Linked DNA regions of Canis lupus familiaris. The protein of the gene in region 1 purifies or fractionates together with the protein of each later gene. This does not show direct contact. Links are inferred from orthologs where the notes say so. Each region holds a gene or a part of one and is shown in the gene's direction. Other genes may lie near its edges.

Evidence for each region. Proteins that work in one complex are often made in the same cells at the same time.
Region 2: the proteins of CFAP20 (region 1) and CLK4-associating serine/arginine rich protein purify together in Homo sapiens (affinity purification with mass spectrometry; 3 studies listed by BioGRID and IntAct, counting the BioPlex papers as one, with this or other methods). This does not show direct contact. The link is inferred for Canis lupus familiaris from reciprocal best matches to the Homo sapiens genes CFAP20 and CLASRP.

Annotation. Positions count from the first base shown.
Region 1 is NC_049223.1:57,712,830-57,721,183, forward strand, and holds the start of CFAP20 (cilia- and flagella-associated protein 20), read left to right. Parts: upstream 1-3,522; 5' UTR 3,523-3,769; coding exon 3,770-3,853; intron 3,854-8,354. UniProt on the Homo sapiens protein: Cilium- and flagellum-specific protein that plays a role in axonemal structure organization and motility. Microtubule inner protein (MIP) part of the dynein-decorated doublet microtubules (DMTs) in cilia axoneme, which is required for motile cilia beating.
Region 2 is NC_049222.1:111,129,857-111,137,483, reverse strand, and holds part of CLK4-associating serine/arginine rich protein, read left to right. Parts: intron 1-895; coding exon 896-993; intron 994-1,387; coding exon 1,388-1,489; intron 1,490-1,705; coding exon 1,706-1,785; intron 1,786-3,868; coding exon 3,869-3,953; intron 3,954-5,049; coding exon 5,050-5,198; intron 5,199-6,036; coding exon 6,037-6,133; intron 6,134-7,120; coding exon 7,121-7,199; intron 7,200-7,293; coding exon 7,294-7,367; intron 7,368-7,627. UniProt on the Homo sapiens protein: Probably functions as an alternative splicing regulator. May regulate the mRNA splicing of genes such as CLK1. May act by regulating members of the CLK kinase family.

The DNA of each region.
Region 1 (8,354 bases):
AAGACCTAAAATTAGATGAAGTTTTCCTAAGCATTCAAATATGAACATATTTATGTCTAAACTCATATATTTAATAAATAAAAATCTTTAAACATCAAATGCTTATATACTTATAATTCTTCGACATTGTTAAAATCACAGATCTAATTTCACATTCCTTTAAGCATTTAAAATTAAATTCAATGTATCAGATTCTCTAATACATTATCTTAACAAAATATCACAATAATCAGAAACTTATTCCTCAATTTGACAAAGATTACTGATAACCAGGGTTTTAATTTACTTGCCATAATCTCTGTGTATGTTTTGATATCCTACCAAGGTAACATATTCTATCTAAAGTCAGGACTGTGATACATTCACGGTTAGAGATTCTGAGCTGGTCATGTACTGGTTGCTACTTCTGCAATGGTTTCACCCAAATTTCAGGTAAACAAACTAAGCCCCTTGCAGTAGTAATGGGGTTTTCAAGGCCACCCCCTATGTTATACCTTACTTGATGAGGGTTAGGATTATGTTACCTGTTCTAAAACTCTTAATGAAAAAAAATAAAAAATAAAAAAATAAAACTCTTAATGGCCTATTTGCATCCTCACCCACTACCCAGATTGGAATCCCTTTACTGTCTCAGTAAGTTCTGCTTCCTATTTATTAATTTTTTTAACTGACCCACTCCATTCTAATTAGAGAAATCATTGAAGGAAGCAACTAATTAGCAAGATTTCTCTTGTGTTTTGTCATTACATAACTCCATGTTGATGGAGGGAAAACAATCCTAAAGAATTTTAGTGCTTAAATGCATTTTTCTGTGAGAGACACATGGTTTTAGGTTAATTTGGTCAACATTACCTTTGAAATGAAAATAAATGTCAGAGGTGTCCTTTTGGCTCTAGTCTACTCATCCGTCCATTCATTCATCGTGTGCCTGCCATGATGGTGGTACTGTGTAGGTGCTGGGATACAATGCACAGAGATACAATCTGCACCTGAAAAAAGCATACCAAAATTAGGTCCGTAACGGAGCCAACTCACTAATTCATGCTCTCCAAACCTTTGATCAAATCATTTTTACTGTAGCCAAGGTCATGATCACAATCATCTTTGAAATCCAATATAAGGAAGAACTGAACACAGTTCAGGCAGACACTTACTGAGAATGGGTAGTTAGGAGAAGCAAATGCTTTCATTTTCTCCATCAGCTTGCTCGTTGATTGGCTATCTGTTCAAGGCACTTAGGCCCACACTCACTTAAGGTGTTCCACTTTATTTGAGGAGAATGCATGGTTAATTAGAGAAATGTGAGCAGGCAAATGGGCTAGGTGAGCCCCAATTCAGAGTAGAAGATCTCTACTGGCTGGATGGGTGTGGAGCTGCTGAAACTAGGAGAGACAGAGCCTGTGCTGGATCTGTAGTAACCAGGACCCCAAGTCTGTGACTCTGATTCCCTGAATCAACACATACTTACTGCATTCCCACTTTATGCAGGCACTTGGATTGGGTATTGGGAATACATCAATAGGCAAGACAGACCAAATTCTTTCTCCTAGAAGATCAAAATCAGGGGAAAGGAGACAGCAATAAGTAACTATATAGACTATGAAGTGGTGATTAGTGCTGTGAAAAAAAATAAAGTGGGGTAGGGTGACAAAAAGTTGGGGTAGGGGGTCCATTTCAGGTTGGTTGTCAAAGAAGTCCTCTCTGATGAGGTAGTATGTTGAGTTGAATAGTGTCTGCTCAAAATTAATGTCTACACACAACCTCAAAAATGGACACCTATTTGGAAATAGGGTCTTTGTGGATGCAGTAAGTTGAAAGCCTCAAGATGATGTCATACTGGATTCAATGTGGACACTAAATCCAATTACTGGTGTGCTTATAAGAGGAGGGGACACAGGAAAACTATGTCAAGATGTCAGAGAGATTGGAGTAATGCTGCCACAGGCCAAAGAACAGCTAGGACCATCAAAAGCTGGAAGAGGCAAATAAGGATCCCTGAAAATTTAATAACAACGAAGGGATAAATTGTCCACTGGCCTAAAGTATATAGAGTTCCCAGAAGTCATCCAAAAAGGATTATTTCATATAAAAAATTTTTGAGATTCTACCCTAATAAGATCCATATATTTCCCCCTGTACCATGTCTAGAAATTCTGGCTAGATTGTTCACAGGGTTGCTGTGAGGATTAAATGATTTAGTAAAAGCTAAAGCTCTTAGTATAGTGCCAGATACCTAATGAATGCTCCACTGATCTTAGCCATTTGTAGCTGTTTTGATGATGATGTTCACTACAAACTCCTTTTCCGTAGCCACAACACCCAGAACAGGCCTGGGCATACGGTATAATATGGAGGTAGATGCTCAGTGAGTGATAGATAGGTCTCCAGCATTTGGGATTTCTTCCACACGTGAAATATCAGAGCTTATTTTATGTCTTTTAAAAAATGTTCTAAGTATTAGTTGATTTTTAAGGGATCCCTGGGTGGCGCAGCGGTTTGGCGCCTGCCTTTGGCCCAGGGCGCGATCTTGGAGATCCGGGATCGAATCCCACGTCGGGCTCTCAGTGCATGGAGCCTGCTTCTCCCTCTGCCTATGTCTCTGCCTCTCTCTCTCTCTCTCTCTCTCTCTCTCTGTGACTATCATAAATAAAAATTTAAAAAAATTAAAAAAAAAAAAAAAAACTGTTGAGGGACTCCTGGGTCGCCCAGCGGTTTAGCGCCGCCTTCAGTCCCGGGCATGATCCTGGAGACCCGGGATCGAGTCCCGCATCCGGCTCCCTGCGAAGAGCCTGCTTCTCCCTCTGCCTGTGTCTCTGCCTCTCCCTCTCTCTCTCATGAATAAATAAATAAAATCTAAAAAAAAAAAAAAAAAAAAAACCTGTTGATCCAACTCAACTTTATTTTAATTTTATTAACTTCTGCTTTTATATTAATATTCAGGCTTTGTTTGCTAGTGAATTCCAGGTAATGTTTTCCCGAGGGCACGGTTTGCATCCCACAGGACAACACGGTGTATAGCCATAGTGACTGTTGATAAAGCAGTGATGCACACGAGGCGAGGAGCCCAGGGAATGCGCAAGAGCGGTCGGCCGCTTTAGCCCTGCCCTGACGTTCTCAGAACACCAGGCAAGCCGCTGCTTACCAAGCACCTTCCGCGCCTTTCTCCGCTCTCGCCCCTGTAACTCCTCCCAGTCCCTCCGGGGGCGGGGGCGGGGGCGGGGGCGGGGGCGGGCCGTGCGGTCCCTGACCCCGCCCCCCGCCACGTTTCCGTGACGCCCCGCGGGGGCGCCGCACCGTCTGCAATCTCCCGTCTTCTTCCGCCTTCTAAGGCAACTCAGGAGGACTGAGATGGGAAAAATATTCCCTTGACAACAGAGTTCTTTCCACCCGGGCCCAAGAGCGGAGGGACCGGAAGCCGCGAGCCTGTGTCAGGATTGGGCCCCGCGCGCTCGGGGGCGGGCCAAGTGGGCGGAGGGATCCATTTTACGCGGCGGAAGGTCCGCCGCCTCCATTCAGGGCGGGGAGAGCGGCGCGGGCGGCCGTTGCTGTGGTTTCCGAGTCGAGGGTTTTTTTTTTTTTTTTTTTGCCTTCGGGGAGCTGAAACTGGAGGACGTTGCGTCTCGCGTCCAAGTTTAGCCGCAGGTGACTACAGAGCCGGCGGCCAGGAGCGCAGCTTCTCCTTCGGACCGGGGCCGGCCCTGCCTTCCCTTCGCCCCTCGGCGTCCGTATCTAGGTCGGCTCCGGCGCGGCTGGGAAGGCCGCGGGCGAGATGTTCAAAAACACGTTCCAGAGCGGCTTCCTCTCCATCCTCTACAGCATTGGCAGCAAACCCCTGCAGATCTGGGACAAAAAGGTCAGGATCTGGGGGCGCTGGCTGGGCGGGGCGCAGGGGCCGCGCCGCTCCTCGTGCGGGCGCTGAGGGCGGGCGGCGGGGGCGTCCTGCCGCGGCGGGACCCCGGCCCCGAGGCGCGAGGTGGGGGCGTGGCCGGGGCTTCTGTGGCCTGCGGCCGCGGTGTGCCGTGACCGCCGAACCTCGCCGCCGTCTTGACTTGGTCAGTCGCTTGCTCGGTTTCCCCATTTATATAGCGGGGGGATCGGTGGTACCGTGTCCTAGCGTGAAATGCATGACCTTACAACTTGAGGCCGCTTTGAAAGAAGCTGCTGTTCACTGATTGCACGAATATTTCCTGATGCCCTGTTGGGTGACGGGCACTGTGCTGGGCACAAGACACAGGACCTTTGTTCCAGGCACACAAGCCAGAGGCAGTTATGTTTGGGTTTCATTCATTTGCTCCTTTCCTTCCAGTGATCTCCAGGGAGAATTCGGGGGCCTTGGGCACCTGCTCCACATTCAGTGCTACTTGGGGTCTGTACTGTGCCTTCCGTGCTTGATGCCTACATCAGAAAAAGTTACAAAATGGTGATAAAGCTTTGTTTGGATTAATAAACTCAGAGCCAGGTTTCAGCCTCATTATTATTATTTTTTGAGGTATCCTCTGGATAACACTTTTTCACTGACCCCTGGAGATAATGATCCTGTCCTGAGTCGTTTCATTTCTCATCCAGATTCCCAGTCAGCTGTACTCACCCCCCCCCCCCTTTTTGTTGTTGTTGTTGTTGTTGTTGTTGTTGTTAAGGATAAGTTAAGACAGGCACTTTATTGTGATTCCTGAGGGGAGAACAGAGAGAAGTGGTATGTTGAATGGTGTTTCTATAGAGATGGATGTGGAATCATCTAAATAACAGTTTATTGGTCATGAAGCCAAGAATCTTGGATTTCATCTCAGAACAACTCTTTGTCTTCCCTTATCCACAGATAGTGTTTTGGGCAACCCAGAGATTGGGAGAGAACACGACAGCCTTCTGCCTGTCACCACTAGGAAATTCTGCATTTCCAAAGCAGCTTTGAGGGTGTGTTCTTAAAGTCATTTTTATAAGACAGTTGAAAGATCTGAGTATAGTGAGTTATTTGGGAGCTTATGCATATATGAAAAATTTGACCAATTTTCCTCTTTTACAAGTTAAGGCTAATACCAGGAGTATTACACAGGAAAGTAGTTCCTTAAGTTAGTTAGTTAGTTAGTTAGTTATTTTTTACATTACTGAGGTTTTCAGTTCCATGGTTTTGTTCACATTGGAATAAACACTGTAAACTCTAAAATCACATCTCTGCAAAGAGAACCTAGAATAAATATACCTAGAAACTTTGTAAGGATGATGGCTTCACAGCTGTGGCTTGACTTAGTTATGGGCTGTCAGGAGGCCTGGAGAGAGTGACCTTGTGTGCCCTTGAACGTGGAATGGTAACAGAATTGTCAATATGAGGCAGTCAAACTAGAGAATGGGACTTGATCTAGGAGAGCTTTACAGAGCAGGTCAGAGAACTTACACTGAAACAAGTCCAGGGTTAGGGAGGCCTCAGCATTTCTAGTGTGTGAAACTTACCAGAGTTGTCCATTTTAACCCTTTGGGGCTTGATCTTTTGTAGCCTATTTTTTACAGCTTTTTGATTAGTCAACATGTTTACACATGGAGTATAAAAGCAAAGTAACCATGGTGCACTGTGTCGCTTAACAACACCACTAGAGGTCGGATGGTACCCTGATGACATAAACACGTGTGAAAACATTAGAACAACTGGCAGGGTTACAGGGCCTAAATGAAACACGTTTGAGCAAAGAAAACATATAGAATAACACTCATTTATTTTTTTTTAATTTATTTATTTATGATAGTCACAGAGAGAGAGAGAGAGAGGCAGAGACACAGGCAGAGGGAGAGGCAGGCTCCATGCACCGGGAGCCCAATGTGGGATTCGATCCCGGGTCTCCAGGATCACGCCCTGGGCCAAAGGCAGGCGCCAAACCGCTGCGCCACCCAGGGATCCCTAACACTCATTTTCAACAAAGTTCTCATAATAGTAAAAATTAATTACATTTCTACTTTTTGTATTTAGACTACAAAGTGTTTAGGGGTGAATTTTTTCCCCTGGGGCAAGGTAAGGAAAAGAAGAATGGCAAGTTTGGGATCAGATTCATAGGCCTCGTTGTATGTGTGCCTTTTCTTGGCTGTATTACAGAGTCCTCAGGAAGTTTTGGGACTCCAACCCAGTTGGGAAAACACTGGGAATTGATAGACTTATCAAAGACTTATTGAGCAGCAGTTAAGTCACAGGCATTGTGTAGATTTGGGGTGACAGCAGAGAGAAGACCTTTCCATACTCTCAGGGAGTAAGGCAAAGTTGCAGTAAAGGCAAAGTTTGATGGAAAGAGGGATGGACTGCCCACATTTATCTTAGAAATGACCCTGACCTGGTTGCTTGGGTGGCTCAGCAGTTGAGCATCTGCCTTTGGCTCAGGGTGTGATCCTGGAGTCCCACATCAGACTCCCAGCAGGGAGCCTGCTTCTGCCTCTGCCTATATCTCTTGCCATATCTCTGCCTCTTGGTGTCTCTCATGAATAAATAAATGAAATCTAAAGAAAAGAAAAGAAATGACTCTGACCTTTGCCAGTAGGTACATATGGCTATTTTTACTATTTTGGTTTTTTTTTTTTTTTAATTTTTATTTATTTGTTTATGATAGTCACATAGAGAGAGAGAGAGGCAGAGACACAGGCAGAGGGAGAAGCAGGCCCCATGCACCGGGAGCCTGACGTGGAATTCGATCCCGGGTCTCCAGGATCGCCCCCTGGGCCAAAGGCAGGCGCTAAACCGCTGCGCCACCCAGGGATCCCTATTTTTACTATTTTGATTACACAAACTTTACTATTCCCCTGCCTGAGTATATCAAGACAGAATTTCTATAGTTTGTTTTCTGTGAAGAATAATCTTGGAAAAATTAGTTTTGGCTTTTTTTTTTTTTTTTTTCAGATTTTTTTTTTTAATTTATTTATTCGTGAGAGACATAGAAAGGGACAGGCTCCATGCAGGGAGCCTGATGTGGGACTCGATCCCGGGACTCCAGGATCACACTGTGAGCCTAAGGCAAACAGATGCTCAACCACTGAGCCACCCAGGCATCCCTAGTTTTGGCTTCTGTTTAGGCTGTGTCTCCTTATGAATGTGTGGAGTGAATGCCATAATCCTAATGCCAGTGAATTGACAAACTCTGTTGTTGTGAGTGTGGTTACTAATATATGTAACACCTGCATTGTGTCGCATTTTGTAGTGATTCCACCTTCTCCCATGGTTATGGGGATTAAATGAAGGTGTATATAAAATGCTTGGCAGCAGTTATGGCATACAGTACTAAGTAGGGCAGGAAACTGAGAAATTTGCTCAAGAGTAAATAAGTCTATAATTGATGCTTAGAAATAGGAAGTGCAGTAAAGTCAGATTTCAGAAATTAGAATAATTTAGTCATTGTACCAGGGCTTTCCCTGTCTAAAAGCCTTAACATGGCTCTCAGGCCACACAGCACATGGTCTGGTGCCCGCTTCACTGTTTCTCCAGGCTCACCTCCCTTTCTTCCCTCACCTTAGCAGTAACCTCCCACTGAACTGAAAGAGGTCATGTTCTCGAACCTTCAGGCTTCTGTCCTTGTCCATCCCTCTGCTGGGACTCCCCTTGCCATCTCTTCATTAGTCTCTGGATCACAGTGGAAAGGCATTTCCTCAGGTTACATTAGTTTATATCCACTCACCCCTCCAAGGTTAAGTTCGTTTTTATCCCCTTATAGAACCTCTACTTCCTTTTCATCATCATCCTCGTACTTGAAATTGGCTTCTTAAAATCTGTATGCCTGGTTATACTGTAAACTTCCTGATAGAGGCCTCTGCAATTTAAAAAAAAAAAAAAAAATTTGTTTGAAAAGCAAGAGAGAGGGCAGGGAGAGAGGGAGAGAGAGTCTCAAGTAGATCCCCCTCCTGAGCCAGAGCCCAATGTAGGGCTTGATCCCATGGCCCTGAGATTATGACCTGAGCCGAAACCAAGAGTCACTTAACCAACTGTGCCACCAAGGAGCCCCAAGATCTCTGTTTTGTTTTGAGATCTTGAGAAATTTTGAGCTTATGAGAAATTAGGGGCTTCTTGATGTTCCCTTAACTTCTGGGACCAGCAAATATTATATTTACTAAAGGACTTTTATGTTTAATATAGTCATTACTTCTGGTTTGTAAAGAAGATACCAGACAGTTCTGTTCTCACTTATGTCTGTATAAAACAGTTTTCACATTTCAAATTATAAATATAAGTCTAACATGCTGAAAGTCTACTAGATGAGAATGTTCATTCATACCATCTTTCTTGCCTCTCACCTTGTCTTTCAGCTGCTGCTGATCCTTGCCTATTCCAAAATGAAATATTAGAACCAGACTTTCTGTGATTGTTTCTGGATAGTATTAGATTCCCATTC
Region 2 (7,627 bases), on another chromosome or scaffold:
CCCCAACTTCCCAGCCTTGGGTAGCCGCTCATCCACTTCCTGTCCTGTGGATTTGCTTATTCTGGATGTTTCACAGTAACGGAATCCTACAACATGTGGCCTCTTGTGACCGGCATCTTTCGCTTAGCGTCCTGTTTTCGAGATTCATCCATGTTGTAGCATGTGTTGGTTCTTCATTCTTTTTTATGGACAATTTTCCATTGTCGAAATAGACCACGGTTTGTTTATCGGCCATCCATTGATGGACATATGATTGCTTCTGTCTTTCGGCCGTTGTGGATCGTGCTGCTTGAATGTTGGTACAAGTACTCAGTCCTTCGTGGGTACATGCGTCCTTTGGAGTGGAATTGCTGGGTTGTATGGCAGTTCTTTCTTTAACTGCTGAAACACTTAATTTCTCCACGTTCTTGTTGGTATTGTTAACGTCTGTCCTCCTTCCCGTTTTAGCTGTCCTGGTGAGTGTGAAACAATGTCTTGTGGTTCTCATTGGCATTTCTCTGATGAGTAGTGCCACTGATCATTTTTGCATGTGCTTGTGTGGTCCTGGTATTTTCGAGGCTGGTCCAGGCCAGTGTGCTCATGCCTGGGTCTGAATGAGTGGAGGTAGGGGGCAGGTGAAGAGTTGGAGAATCATATTTTGGCAGGGGCAGGGGGTGTCTTGATACCAACTTTACATTAAGCTGGGCCAGAGCTCAGAGCCTTTCTCCACCATCTCAGGAACCCCTGTCCCTAGGGGTTAGGTGGCCCCATTAGTGCTGCCATCCCTGTGCAGGTCAGACTGCCTCTGCAGCATGGACCACTTGACATCAGAGGTGGGCTCACGACCAAGCTTGGATGCAAGGGGGTGGCAGGGAGTGCAGTGCCGTGGTGACCTCCATCCTCTCTCCCCCTGCAGAAGAAGGACCCAGCCCAGTTCCTGCAGGTGCATGGCCGAGCTTGCAAGGTGCACCTGGATTCTGCAGTTGCCCTGGCTGCCGAGAGCCCCGTTAACATGTAAGACTGACTTTGAAGGGCAGGAGGTAGGGTCTGTATCTGAGGATTGGAGGTCTTGGGAATGGGTGGGGCCATGGCCACAGGCTCAGATGAAACGGGAAGTAGGTTGCCACAGGGGATGTTTCAAGACGACAGGGGCTTAGCAAGTGGCCTCTAGAACCTGGTTCGAGTTTTCCACTTGTGCTTGGTTCTGAGAAATAGGGCCCCAGTTCCCAGGGTCCCATTCAGGCCCCTCTTGAGGCCAGGAGCTTGAATGTGGATTCAGGGGGATGAGGGACATAAGAGACTGAGAAGTGGGGGTTGAGGGTGGGGCCCTGGAATATCACTGAGAGCTGAGGTGACAGGGAATGGGTGTGGGCCCTGGGGACCCTAAACTCGTTGCTCCCCATTTCAGGATGCCCTGGCAGGGGGACACCAACAACATGATTGACCGCTTCGATGTCCGTGCCCACCTTGATCACATCCCCGACTACACCCCGCCGCTGCTCACCACCATGTAAGCTGCGCCCCTGACGCTTGCCAGGCAGAGAGTCTGAGCCTTACTCCCCCCTCTTTCCCAAGCCCTTGCCTGCCTGTCACTTTCCTGGGAAGGAGGAGGTATGCCAGTGGGGAGCTTCCCAGCCTGAACCAGACTCCTCATCCCCTGCTCCTGCTGGCTTGGGGTGTGGCCTACCCTCTTCCTCTGATCTCAAGGCCTTGACCTCCCCCAAAGCTCCCCAGAACAGGAGTCAGACGAGCGGAAATGTAACTACGAGCGCTACCGAGGCCTGGTGCAGAACGACTTTGCCGGCAGTGAGTGAGCTGGGGCATGGCGGGTGGGTAGGGAGGCCGTGGACACAGGAAGACCACTTTCACTCCAGTGCTTTCAACTACAGGACCTGGGGTTTGCTCCCAGCTCTTTCTTCTGAGGCCTCTGTCTTTGGACCCAGTACAGGCAATGTCTCCTGAGCAAGATAGTCCTGCCGAGGTCACTTTCATATCCCACACCCTCTGCCTTTCTGATCTTTGTCCTAAAAAATTTGGGAAAATAGCAAGAATGCATCATATCCCTCTGTGTGTTTCTGCCAGTTTGTTTGGGTCAGAATGTAACTTTTGAAGAGGAAATTTCTTTCAAGAATTTTCTAAGAATATTTACACAAAGTTTGACAATCTGCCAATCCTTTGTATATATTGGTATCGTTCCTCTGAGCCATCACCATGCTGCTTCACAAATAAAACGGAGACTCAGGGTTTTCCCCATTCTGGGCTTGCCCGGGGAGGTTTGGACTCTGACAAACTTGGATCTTTTTGTCTGCATTCTATCTCATCACATCTGCACAACCATCTAGCAGTGGCATCCATTTTATAGACGAGGACGTTGAGGCTCAGGAGTTGGTGGGAACACCGTCCAAAAAGCTGGGATTCTCACCCTGCCCTTAACCACTGCTTCCTTCTGATGGTCAGCTCTGAGCCTTAGCTCCCCTCCTGAGAAGGACTGAGACCTCCCCTCTTAGGGTTTCCCTGTTGAGTTAGAAGGAGGACAGGCCACATGAGACCCTTAGCCTGGCCAGTCTCAATCTCCTCCCAGAGAAGGGTGGTGATGATGGTTTCTTTCCCCCAAGGTAGTTGTAAGAGCCCGGTGAGGGGTACATGAAGCCCTGGCACTGAGCCTGGTTCAGTCAGTCCTAGGTGTGGATTTGCTATTCTCTAATTTCTTTGTTTCTAAGATGGGTGTTTTAGCATCTCTAAAACCAAAGATTGCCAAAGTTCTAGCAATCAGTGAGGTGTTAGAATCAGGGAAATTTATCATCATTGATACTGTTGCTGCTTTTGCTTTCACCCAAGGCCAGGGGGTTCTTGGTGATAGAGCCAGAGTTTCCCTTCCTTTGGTCTGACCCTGCATTCGTGCATTGCGATAATTCCTGAGCACCTATGGTGTGGCAGGTGCTCCTCTGGGGTCAGGGTCTCGTGGGGGGGCGGGGAGCAACCACAATGTCCCCAAAGTGGGTGGTGATTGCAAACGAAGGTGGGGTTATAAACAGACAGTGCGCTGTTCTCTGAGGTGCTTGACAGAGGCTAGGGTTGGAGAAGGGTGGAGAGGAACTCTGGTGAGGAGAGGTTGGCTGGGATCTTTCGGGTGGATGGGGGCAGGCAGCCTGTATGGCTGGAGCAAGGAGAGTGAGGCAGCTTGTGTGAGACAGGCCAGCAAGGCCCTCTCCCAGGCTTTGTATACCATGATTGGGAACCAGGAAGGACATGGGGGTGGGGGTGGGGCTGCTGGAGCAAGGGACTGTGCTCCGTCACCTCTGGGTTCACTCAGCCCTCCAACTTGACTTTACAAATAGAAAAGCTGAGACCCACAGAGGGAAGGGGACTTGCCCAGGATCCCGCAGCCCGTCAGGGCCATGTGTTCAATTGCAGGGAAGATCAGAGAAGGCTCTGACACAATGCCGAGCTCCCCAAGTTAGGTGTTGTGGGTAAACAAGAGCTCAGATGGCTCCAAACACATGTAATTGAAACTGAGCCACAGAGAGGCACATGGTGGAGTGGCCCATGAAGTCCCAGTGACATCCAGTGGTCAGAAGTTTGTAGTTTTGAGGGGTCCAACCAAAGGCCTCCCTTGCAGGGATAATAGGAGCATTGCTCTAGTGCCAAGTGCTCACTCTGCCAGGGCAGCTGCTTTACAGAAAAGGAAACCAGGCAGAGAGAAGTTAAGCCCCTTTATGGTCTCATGGCGAGTCCTGCAGTTGCTGTGTCCTCCCCACACAGTTTGTGATTATCTGCACTCCAGCAACTCTGCCCCTGGCTGAACTTGGGTTGCACTCGTCTTCCTTCCTTCTGCATTCTTGTGTCCCTCACCCCCACTCTGACCCTTCTGTCTCGTACTCTGCTTCAGTCTCAGAGGAGCAGTGCCTGTACCAGATCTACATTGACGAGCTGTATGGAGGCCTCCAGAGACCCAGTGAGGATGAGAAGAAGAAGTGAGTTGGGGTCTGGGGGCATGGTGGCAGTGGGGGAGCCCGGAGGACTGTGAGCCCCACCAGGGCACGGCCTCATCTAGCTCATCCACCTCAGTTTTCTCAGAGTCAAGGCCAGTGTTGGGTACACAGTAAGCACTCAGTAAACACTTAGAGGAGGAAGTGGTGGCCTGTGTCGACCCAGGCGTGGGTGAGTCCTGCCTTTGAGGACTCCCTCTCTGACTTTTGTTGTGCTCCCCTGCCACAAGGGCTAGGAGGAGTCCTCTCTTCCTGCAGTGAATGGAGCTTGTAGGTGGTTCTGTGCCTGCCCTGTGTGTGTTCAGCAGCAGCAAGTGTCACTTCAGAGGGGGGCTTCTCAAGGCCATGTCCTTCAAGGAACAAGCTGTGGGGGGAGTTGGGGCCTTACCTGGAGCAGCTGGTGGGCAGTCTCCCTTCTGTCTTTGTGCCCTCTGCCGGGGTAGCCCTGTCTTCCTCCTGGGGCAGCTCTTGGCCCACCTGTCCCACAGCAGTCCAGGAGCCTGACTCCTTTCTTCCATCTGGAGTTTCCACAGATGCCATGGAAGCTTCTCAATGACTGATCCTTACCCATGATCCCACTTTCAGGATGAGGTTGGCACTCAAAGGGTGCTTGGGACTATTAACTAAATTAATTCAGCAACAGACATGCTTGAGGCTGCTCCCCTGTTATGGGCAGAGCTGGGTCACGTTGTTACCCAAGATAACTCTGGGTCCTGCCCTCGAGTCTGCTAACAGCAAGTGCTTAGAAGACAGAAGGGAGCCTGCCCCGCTGGGACCTCCCTGACCCCCAGTAGTCATGACCCAACAAGGGTGGGGCTGAGGAGCTCAGGATGGTGCATGACCCAGCCTAGGTAATGACTTCCTGGAGGCCTTGGAGCTGGAGCTTAGGGGAAGAGGGAAGGGCTGGTAGGAGGCAGGTGCAGAAGGTTCTAGGCTGGGGGACTGTGTGTGTGAGGGCCTGGAGGCAAGAGCACCCTTGGGAGGCTAGAGCTTGGGGAGTCAGTGTGCCCTCCCTCATGGCTTGGGATCTGGGCTGGACCCTGCCCGTGGCCCTCCTGGCTCATGGGCTCCCCCGTCCCAGGCTGGCAGAGAAGAAGGCTTCCATTGGCTACACCTATGAGGACAGTACCGTGGCTGAAGTAGAGAAGGTGGTGGAGAAGCCAGAGGAGGAGGAGTCACCAGCAGAGGAGGAGAGCAACTCGGACGAAGATGAGGTCATCCCCGACATCGGTGGGGTCCCCTCTCTGCCCTCTCCCACCCCGCAGTCCCTGGGCATCGTTTTCGTGTCTCGTTCCTCACCCTCTGTGGGACACCCCGCACTTACGAGCCCCATTTCTCCCGTCCCTGCTCCAGGGCACTCCAGCCTCTGCCGTCCTCCATGTCTTACTCACGTGCTCCTCTGTGTTGGCCTCCCTCTCTGTATTTCTCCTTTCTCATTTTAGGATACTACTTCTATGATATTGTCCCCACCTAGGTTCTGTTTCCGTTCTTTTCTACTTGGGTTAGCCTCTCTGTCTCCCTCTTTTTGTCTCTCCTCTGGAGAACATGTGTTCGTTCAGTCCAGAGCCATCCCTCACCTCCCCCCATCCAGACCCTGCCATTCACTGTTCCCTGCAAATACTGGTAGCTCCAGTTGTCTAACCTCATCCGCTCAGCCAGCTGCTGCTTATCACACATATGTGAGGCATCCATCCCCTTCTCAGAGTGCATCTAGCTCCTAAACACTTCTGACTCACCCAGATCTTCACCCCCCATCATCCGTCCCCATCGACACATGGTACATCACTCAGTCCACTGGTCTCGATCGTCCATCTCAGTGCTCATTTGGGTCCTCATGCATTGCATCTCCTCCCCACCCCCACCTAACGCCCCTTGCCGTTGGTTGCGCTCACCTCCGGCCAACCCTGTGCCAGCCTGGGGACGCCGAGATGAGCTGACTCGTTCCCTCCCTGCAGAGGCCTCCAGTGTGGTGGGCATCCCCTCGTGCCCCCATCTCTCAGGGCACTGCCCCCTCATCCCTGGTCTTCTCATTTGGCTTTGGCCCCTGACAGCCTTTCTCTTGGTGCAGACGTGGAGGTGGATGTGGACGAACTGAACCAGGAGCAGGTGGCAGATCTCAACAAGCAGGCCACGACCTATGGCATGGCCGATGGTGACTTTGTCAGGTGAGGCCTGCTGGCTGGTGCTCCTCCATTCTGGCCCAGTGTCCATCCTCACCCCTGTTGCTCACAGCTGCTTTATTCCTCGGTGCTGGTAGGCCCAGCCCCATGTGGGGGGGGGGGGGGGGCGGCGTGCGGCGGCTTCACATGCACAGGCTCCAGAGCATATGGGATGGTACTTTGACCAGGCTTTGCCTGTGTGGAAACTGAAGCTGCACCCAACTCCGTGTGACCTGCGGACCTCTGACCCCTAAAAGTTCCCCGGGTTCCTGGGCCTGGTGGACAGCACCCTCTGGTGGAGAGGAGGCTTCAGTCACTGGCTCACTCCCTCACAGTTGCTGATGTGCATGCAGGTCTCACAGAGAATGGCCCCAGTTAACAGAGTATTGGGTCTGAATCCGAATGATCCCATCTGAACATGGCACCCTCTGCTCAGAACCCTCCATGACTGCCCCATTCCTTGGGCACCCAGAGTCCTCACCACGGCCACAAGACCTTACCTGTCTGGTCCTCTCCTCCTCTTACCCACACACTCCACCCCTGTGTAGCCTCTAAGGCTCCACCAGACTTCAGGCCACTGCAGTGTTGGCTTTGCGACTTATTCCCTGTGGTTTCTCCTCAGTTGTCATTTTTCTCCATGTGGCTTCCCTGACCTCCCTCTTGAAAGCTGTAGCAGCTTTTACATGTTCCCTGGCACTTCCTTCCTCCTTCTGCCGTCAATCTTCCCATCTAACTTTTTACTGTTTAACGTACTACTCGTCCCATTACCTTGGTCACTGTTTTCTCCCTAGAACGTAAGCCCGCAAGGGCCAAGATTTTTGTTTGTTTTCAATAGTGAATCACCAGTACGTAAAATAGCATCCGTGTGCAGTGGGTGCTCAGTAATCGTGCTGAATGATTGAGAGACTCCAGGATGGTGTGGGATTCCTCACTTCCTGCAACAGTTCTGCCTATGGCCACCCCTTCTCCACTGTGACCCCCCTCCCCTTGCAGGATGCTCCGGAAAGACAAGGAAGAGGCAGAGGCGATCAAGCACGCCAAGGCCCTTGAGGAAGAAAAGGCCATGTACTCGGTGAGAGCCGGGCCAGGGTGGGGGGTGGGGGTTGCCTCAGGGAGGGTGCATCCCTCATTAACACAGTGCCCCCCCCCCCCCCCCAACTCTCCAGGGCCGACGTTCCCGTCGCCAGCGGAGGGAGTTCCGGGAAAAGCGACTCCGGGGCCGCAAGATCAGCCCACCCAGGTAGGCTAGGTCCCTCCCCTGTGCCTCTGCCCTGCCAGCCTCATTCAGGGCTCAGGGGCAGGGAGCTTGGGCTCATTAAGGGGCCCCCTTTGGGGGCAGGCTTGGGCTTGTGAACAGATTCCTCCTAGTAGGGCAGTAATTGGGGTAGGTTTAGGGGAGGAAAGGCCTCAAGGGGCATGTAGACACCCTGCCCTGCCAGCCACTCCCCTCACCTGCTGGACTTGGGACTCTTGCCAGGCATCACAGGCACCAGTGGGAAA